2 linked regions of the Caenorhabditis elegans genome follow. The protein of the gene in region 1 interacts with the protein of each later gene in a pairwise test. Each region holds a gene or a part of one and is shown on either strand. Other genes may lie near its edges.

Evidence for each region.
Region 2: the proteins of txbp-3 (region 1) and ZK1128.7 interact in a two-hybrid assay, tested with the Caenorhabditis elegans proteins (2 studies listed by BioGRID).

Annotation. Positions count from the first base shown.
Region 1 is NC_003281.10:5,045,380-5,049,171, forward strand, and holds txbp-3 (Tax1-binding protein 3 homolog), read right to left. Parts: upstream 1,783-3,792; 5' UTR 1,764-1,782; coding exon 1,509-1,763; intron 1,029-1,508; coding exon 909-1,028; 3' UTR 797-908; downstream 1-796. Other genes in the region: C45G9.14 (uncharacterized protein), read left to right, coding at 1-61, 109-274; vtip-1 (Vha Twelve Interacting Protein), read left to right, coding at 2,745-2,867, 2,915-3,034, 3,083-3,182, 3,231-3,315. UniProt on the Caenorhabditis elegans protein: May regulate a number of protein-protein interactions by competing for PDZ domain binding sites.
Region 2 is NC_003281.10:10,135,229-10,139,794, reverse strand, and holds ZK1128.7 (SHSP domain-containing protein), read right to left. Parts: upstream 2,790-4,566; 5' UTR 2,724-2,789; coding exon 2,536-2,723; intron 2,487-2,535; coding exon 2,438-2,486; intron 1,583-2,437; coding exon 1,374-1,582; intron 1,038-1,373; coding exon 959-1,037; intron 906-958; coding exon 813-905; 3' UTR 671-812; downstream 1-670.

The sequences.
Region 1 (3,792 bases):
GATTGATTGCAGAAAAACAGGAAGAAATTGACGAAAATCGCAATTTTTCGAGGAGAGAAGAGTTAGTTTTTCAAAGTTTTAGGAACAGAAAAAACCGAGATTTTGCAGAGTTCAAATGACGAAATTAATGGAAAAATTAGAAAAAGTGACGGAAGAAAGAAAACAAAAAGAGAGAACTTTGCTGAAATTATATGAAGAAGAAGGGAAAACTATGGATTCATCCGATGATGAAGATAATATTAATTTTGAATTTCAGAGTTCTGATAAAAATTGAATGTTTCTAGTTTTTAAAAGTTTTAAAAAATACTATTTTATTATTTTCGAGATGATTCGAGAAGACTTTAGTATGTACTACAAGTTTCATTTGCATATAATACTACATTTTGTTAGTACATCACTTTTTCTGTGTTTACACAATTGAATTTGTTCCAAGAATCCATCAAGTGAAATCACGTGTGTTCCTTTTAAACTACAGTAATCCTTGTAGTAAATTTGAAATTCATTATTTAGATTTAAAAACATTTTCAGAGTGTATACACAATTCAAATAAAGTGAAAGCAACAAAGATTTTAATATCCCAACTAGTTTAAAAGTGGAAAAAATGTTTTAATTTAACAAATTTATTGCGACAGATTTCAGATTTATAATTTCTTTTGTTTTACTTTATTTTTTACATTGAAATAATTCATTTTTGTATGATAAAAATTTACAGGCAATTATGAAATTTTCAGTTCATTTTTCCAAACACGAATGACCAATTTTTCTTGTCAAATGATGCATTGTGTCGTCAAAAAAGTAAAATTTTTTATTTTTGAACCCGATAAATATCAAAATATATGCGCAGAATTGAGTTTGAGAGATAATTGAAAAGGGCAAGTTTGAATGTGAACGGAACAAATGAGATTGAGTTAATGAAGACTGACAGGAGGAAGATCGGCTCTTGCAACAAGCATATGAAGTACTTTTGATTGTTTGATAAACTTCACAGCTCGATCATGAGTCATCATTGTGAAATCTGCTCCATTGACCTGAAAATAGAGAATATTATTTAGTTGGGGTGTCCGTTTGTTAGAGGATGTTCTCAATATCATCTAGAAAAATTTTGAGGAGTTTTCAATTTTTTGGAAACTTATGTTAAGCTAATGTTCGAACGTTCTTGAGTTTGTCTACCAAAAATTTTTTAATTGGCCAAATGTTTAATTCACTTCAGTTTAATTCACGCAAATTTATGTTGAATGAGAAAATATTGCCTAAGAAGAGTACTGTAATTTCAAATTCTCATTTCTGCTGAATTTTCATCGATTTTGCATGGTTTTTTGATGAAAGTATATTTATTTATTTGAAATATAACAACACAAAAATTTCCAAAAACTCATGAGAAAAACTATGCAAGATCGATGAAAATTCGGCAGTAAGTTTACAGTACTCTTAATTAACAATGTATATGTTGGCAAGAAAGTTTGATCATTTGTCTCTGGGAAAAGAAAACTTAAAAATTTCATAATTACCTGCAGAATCTTATCATGCTTTCTCAATCCAGCCACATCCGCCGGCGATCCTGATTCGACGTTTGTGATATAAACTCCAGAATCCGGATATTTGAATGGCGCTTTTGTTGGATCTTGATCAATTCCTCCACCAATTTTAAATCCAACTCGAATTGTGACTTGTCCATGAGCATCAATAACTTCTTGTTTGTGCAATTCAACAGCAATTGACAAACATTCAATTGCTTCTCCTGGCATATGACCATATGCTGTCATTGTATTATTTTTTTTTGATCTGAAAATTGGAAAGTATTTAAAAGTGAAATTGAAAAGAAAATGAGGTTTTTTGTTCAAAAACTAATGTTTAAATGTGTCGGAACACGGACAAAGATGAAACGCACACATACAACATGAGGTGTGACTCATTGTCTTCAACCCCCTCTGGTCTCCATTTTTCTTACACTATCTCATCTTCCTACTCTCATGGCCGAATTTGCATACATTTTTACTCAATTCCGTTCGGATTGTCATTGAGATGGCGACCTTGTACAAGTGTTGCCGATAAGAGAATAATTGAATTGGTGGCCGTGGAAGAGAAATTGAAAAAATAAGACCAAACATCGCTTTTTGCGGCCATGGAAAGTTGGTTTTACTTGTATTGAATAATCTTTTTCCCTCAATTTTTTATTTAACGTTTCCAAATCTTGCAGTCTTGCATGTTTCTATTTGCAGGCATATTTTTAAAGATATTATAATAATTAATAATGAATTATTTCAATGTAAAACAATATAGTCAAGAAAAAAGAATATCTAAAAATCTAAAATCAGTAGCGGAAAAGAAGTTTTTTAATGCTAGGTACTGTAGATTTTCCAATTTCCACAATATATGTTTGAGAAATCGATTTATTTTCAAAAACCATTTTTGTTCAAATTAAAACATTTTTCCCACTTTTAAACCATGTTTAACTCCAAAATCTTCTTTATTTTCACTTTATTTTAAATGTGAATTCACTTTGAAAATGTTGTTCAATCTAATAATATTCAAATTCACTTCGCCGATTACTGTGGTTTTAAAGGAGTGCATTCAAATTATTGATTGAGGTCTCGCAGCGAGCTGGGTATGGTGAAATTTTTTATTGATTTTTAGACACTTCTCTTGCGCAAAACTCTTAAATTTTTAGTTAATCGTTGACTCTCATTTCTTTTGCTAAATATAATGATAAATTATCTAATAAATTTTCAATTTTCAGCATAAAAATGACCCAAGAACCGTCAGACACCAGTGATTATCAACGATTTGATGAAATGCTTCTTCATTTGGAGCCAAGAGGGGCAAGAGTTCCTTATAACGTTGTTTACGACCAAGACAACAATATATGGGTATATTATAATTAAACAACAACAATTAAAAATTATTCATTTTTCAGGTAGCTTCAAAAGGCGGTTTATATAAATTCAACGGAAAAACTCTCCGAACTCTGCACGAAGACAAGAAATTCTTCAAGAAAATGGCCCCATTTCCACAAGTAATTTCGTACAAAGACAGGGTACAATAAATTATTTTCACTTAAGTTATTAATTATTCAAATTTACAGATAATCTACACATCAGCTGAATTCTCTGATCGAACGACAATTTTAAGAGTAATTTCACTTGATGGAGATGTTGTTCATGAGTCGTTTATCGAAGGATTATGTAAGTTTTTCTGGTATAAAACATTTTTTAAAATATATTTTTTTTTAGTAAATTCCATGACAATCACTGATAGTGGCGATATGTATATTGTGAAGCAAGCTGAACCAGGACATCGAAACAATTTTATCATGACGTAAGAATTAAAATAAATCATTTAAAGAAGGAGTATCGTCAATGGGAAAATTGTTTTAAAATGTAGTATTCGTGCTCAAACTTAAGAATATTACAAAACAAAAACGGGAAAAATCCGTTTAGATTCAGCATTTTAAGTCGAAAAAATCTTCAAAAATTAACTAGAGAAATCCTAGGCCACGACGATCTTTCGAATTTTTATTTGTTCTGGTATTGTCCTTTGAAAAAATACTCAATACAATTTCTTCTTCCCAGTTTTCTTGAACTTTTTGAGAAAGAAAAGCGAATTAAAGTTCGAAAAAATTACATTTAAATCAATATTTTGTTTACGAATATGACCTAAAAGTTGCGTGGTTGCTTTTCATTTGCGCGCGAAATTCAAATTCAGCCACTTTCAGCCACTTTCGTCGATTTCAACGGCTAAATGCTGAATGTTAACGGATTTTTCCGTTTTTCTTCTGCAATAATTGGAAGTTTG
Region 2 (4,566 bases), 5.1 Mb from region 1:
AGTGCAGTCATATGTATGTAAAAAAAATGAACTCAAGACAAAAACCCCTGTAGCGCGTCTGAAAATTGATATCATGGTACAAAAACGTACCAATAATACTAAAAAAAAATTAGCAAACCATTTTTATAGAAATTCTCCCAAAATTCCAAAATTTTTTTTTGCAAAAAAGTGCAGTATGTAAAAAAATGAATTGAAGATACTTTAATTCAGGTATTTTAATTCAAAAATATATAATTATTTTAAATATTTAGTCAGATATTTTTCTTATTTTTTTCAAGAAGTTTGATCAAGTATTCTGTCGAATTAGCTCTGTTATTTTTCTATTCTCTGGCACTTGCTTATTCATGATGTTGACGAACAGCTTTTCGGTGATTTGCAGAAAAAAACGTTGACTAATGGAGAATGTTCCGTTGTTTCTTATTTGTTGTGGAACACACAAAAATTAAATTAAAAAATAATTCAAACATCTAAAAAAAAACTTCAAGAAACGAATTTTTTAAGCACTATAAGCTTTAAATTTCATATTTTAATAAAAGTAAAAATAATAACCTTGGTTCTTCATTATGTTTATAAGTTCTGGGCTTTAATGCCCAGCATATGTGAGGGTTTGTTTCCAAATCTAGGCAAAAATAAAGTAAATTTTTGCATAGGACAGTCACACCAAAGATGTCAAAAATAAATGGTTCATATGAAAGCAAAATATGTCATGCACGGGGGAGTAAATTTCACAGGAAGAAAATTTCGAGAAAAATATGAATGCGGAAAGCATCACAGGGTAGCTATAGTTACATTGTACTTGAGTATTTGTATTTTTAAACAATTGATGTCACACTTCTTGCCACGTTTCGTTGAGTTGTTGGGTGATAGCTTGAGATGCTTGTCTCACGCCATCCTTTACGAGAACCCTGGAATATGTATTTTGTAGAATTGAAATCCAGAGGTTTTTTGAGAAACTAACATTAATGATGAGAACTCCAGAATTGGTGAGGTGACTTCGAATAGTGTCTAGATGAACATCGTCCGGGATTGAGTACTTTCTGAAATAAAAAATAGATGTATTTTTTAAAATCTTTTAGCGGGAATTCAAGTTCTGGGAGAAACACTTATTGGAAAATTCAAAAGTGATCAGAAAAATTATGGCGGGGAATTCAAATTGTTTGTCTTTCAGGAGGAACTTCTGGAAAGTTATCAACTTTTTTGAAATTTTGAAAAATTATTGGATTTTTCTGGCTTTTTAGATTTTTAGAAAGTAAAACATCAAAAATTTATGGAAGATTTGGAAAACTTCTGGAACTCTTTGGTAAGTGCAAACTATTGGCGATTGATATTTGGAAAAATGAATTAACCCTAAAAAACATCCAAGCATAACCTACCTCGAAAAACTTCTTCGAAGAGTATGTCCATCGCCAGTGGATTCAAAACGTTCTCCTGAAATGCTCAACGTATCATCTGTGAGCACAACTTTAATCTCTTCTGGCATAAAATGGAAGACGTCGATTTCAATTGTGAATCCATGGCTAGTATTCGTAATTTCTCCAGCTCCAGCAACAGGTCCTGGTGATCTCGGTCGGCTTTCTGTGATCTAAATCACTTCATTTTATTTGATTACTTTGGCAGCGCACTCGGGGGAATGGGGGGCTGACTAGTTCTGCTTTTGAAAATGAAAGTTGAATTCAAAAATTCATGTTAATTTGAAAATAAATAAGAATTTATAAATTCAATCCTTTGAAAAGAATTATGTTCAAGGTTTTCGTAATTTGCCAAAAATTTCAAAAATTGGAGTTCTTCAGTTGTTACAATGGAACCCTTTCTTATTATGGTCGTTTTTCAAACTCAACTTTGCTACATTTTGACTTTAAATTTTAAAAAACTTTAGAATTTATTTGAAAAGTGTTATATACCAAGTAAGGGATTTTTAACCATTCTCCTACTGCCGATTTCCTACTACGATCTTTTGAATGATTATATCTAGTTACTGTAGGTTCAAAAAACCCCAAAAAATTGGAACATTTTCAAGCTTTCAAATTAACAATTCGTATGATTAGTCTTTTAGATAAAGTTAATTTCTGTTTTGAATCTAGTTCATAAATGCACTATGCACTTTGAATTTAGGTGCAAAAGCGGTTTCATTTGCTCTATTTGCTCACATTTGTTTTTGAAGGTAAATAGAGATTGCCAGAAAATTTTCCAACAAAAATTGTTGAAATTTCTTAATTTTTCAACCGCTTGAAATAGGAAAAAAATTACACGCTTCTAAAAATGGCAATATGCCAAAACTTTGGCTGAAAATTTTGCAAATACTAAAAAAATTTTGGCGTGTTTCATTATAATATTCGGTCAAGTTAAACTATTATAAATGTATTTAGAGTAGATCCTCGCTAACGATTTTCCTGTTCCTACTTTTTTTCGGTAGTGAGAAAATGCCTAGAGTCGTTACCTTTGTATAATAGCTATCATAAGATTGATCTGGAGGGCCTCGATGGGTACTGAAAAGTTTATTCAATCTTAAATTTAAACTTTGAACTTGAAAGTTACGGAAAAACGGTCTCCTTGTAGTTAATAGGATATCCATAAATCATATTAGAATGTGAAGAACGTGGAAATACACTGATAACATCTCCAGGTTTAGATGAGAATATTTCAGAAGCAGACGGCTTTTCAGACCAAACAGAGCCTTCAAGATAACTGTCAAGATCATCATCATCAAAATCAACATGATGCATGTTTCCAGAAAGAATAAGTGAGAGGTAACTAGGTGCTGCTTGACATGTGGAAATAGAGGAATAAGAGAAAAGCGAGAGAGTACACGATATGGCGGAGATGTATAGGAGATGAACAAACAACAAAAAGAAATAGAGAAAGAAACGAAATATAGAACATGCCTCACTTTCAATATACGTGAAAATTGTTTGAAGCGGCGCCTCGTAGTTGTGGAAACAGTGAAAACCGCGCAGCTACTACCTCGTTTATTTTTTTGAGTGTTTGTATGTATGTGTGTGTGTGCGTTTCAACTTCCTCTGTCAAGTTTTGAAGTTTTTTGAATAACCGGAAATTAAATGTTTCCTGGTGAAGTCCACTAATGATTTATGGCGTTTTCATAAAGTGTGAAAAGTTTTACGGAAATTCTTGTTTTAGAACTGAAGCAGAATTGTAGTCAGAAAATGTGGCAATTTTTTGTAGGTTTCCCTAGAATACATTAAAATGATAAACCATATGATAATCCAAATTTGAAAGTTAAGAACAAATCTAAAAATTAAAAACTTGATTGTTTCGAGGCAAAAATACACTAGAAATTGGAATCGCAAAGATGCAGACACTACAAAACAAAAGATGCAGACACAAAACAAAAGATGAAGACTACTACAAAAGATGCAGACACTACAAAACAGTCTCGCTACAAATTAGTTGACGAACTTTAGAAGTATTGCCAAAAACTGCATGGAACATTTTTTATTGAAATATCCAGTTATTAGGAAATTCATATTAAAGTTTAAGTATTTATTACTATACACACTGAATGAATATCATTATAAAACACTCTGGAAACTTTTAAATGTTAAAAAATTTCCAGTCAAACTTTTGGAAATGTAGAGCTTTTTAAACCCCTTCAATGTTTAAATGCAAATATTTGAAGCAATATAAAATATAAATATTGTAGAAAAATTATATGTTGATCGACCAATTATTGTTTTAATTTAGGAGTATTTTTATTTTTGCAGATTTTCTTCATTAATAATTTTTAAAGAGTGATTCAGACTATTTCAATTACTTCAATTATTATTGTTGACCTTTAAAAAATTAGCTTTAACAATTTAAGTAACTAACCTGACTTTGTGAAACGTACTGCTTCTGAGGTTCCCGTTGTACACTTCTACTGTATCGCCCAGTCATCTGAAATTAAATATTTATATTTCTAACAGATTCACACGATTCAATCCTAAAAGAAAACGGGCCGTGACCACTTGACACACCTGTTTTGTAGGTATTGAAACGGTCACTTGCACTTTTATAGAGAATGACATTGCAGGGGGGAGAGAAGAATTTTTAGAATATTTGTTTTGTCAAAAATGAGTTAGTGAAACTCGGAACAGAAGGTCATATGACATGAGAAATCAGGAACGAAACAAAAATTGCAAAAAAATGAAGACACATGACGGCAAGAAACTTTTTTTTTTTTAAGTTTTCAACGAAAGACCGGAAGGGAGAGCAGAAATTTTTTTTGAGATTTCTGTGTACTTTTTTAAAACTCACGAACTAATTGATAAATTAAATTGGAAAGGAGAACAAATAAATATTCCCAATTCCGTGTTTTTATTGGTTTTGCTTCTATTTTCTGACGAGTCGGAAATAGGTATAAGCTACGAATTTTTTTTTAATTTCAAAAAAAATATATTAAGGTTTTTTGGTTTTCTAGTTTTCTAAAAATTAGTTTCATTTTGAAAATTAAAAAAAAATTTAATTTTTTAAAAATTTTTTAATATTTTGGCTTTGCACAGAAATCCAAAAAAGGATCTAAAGTGAGTATAGCAAAAAAAATTATGACCCAAAGAATCAAAATTTCATCTC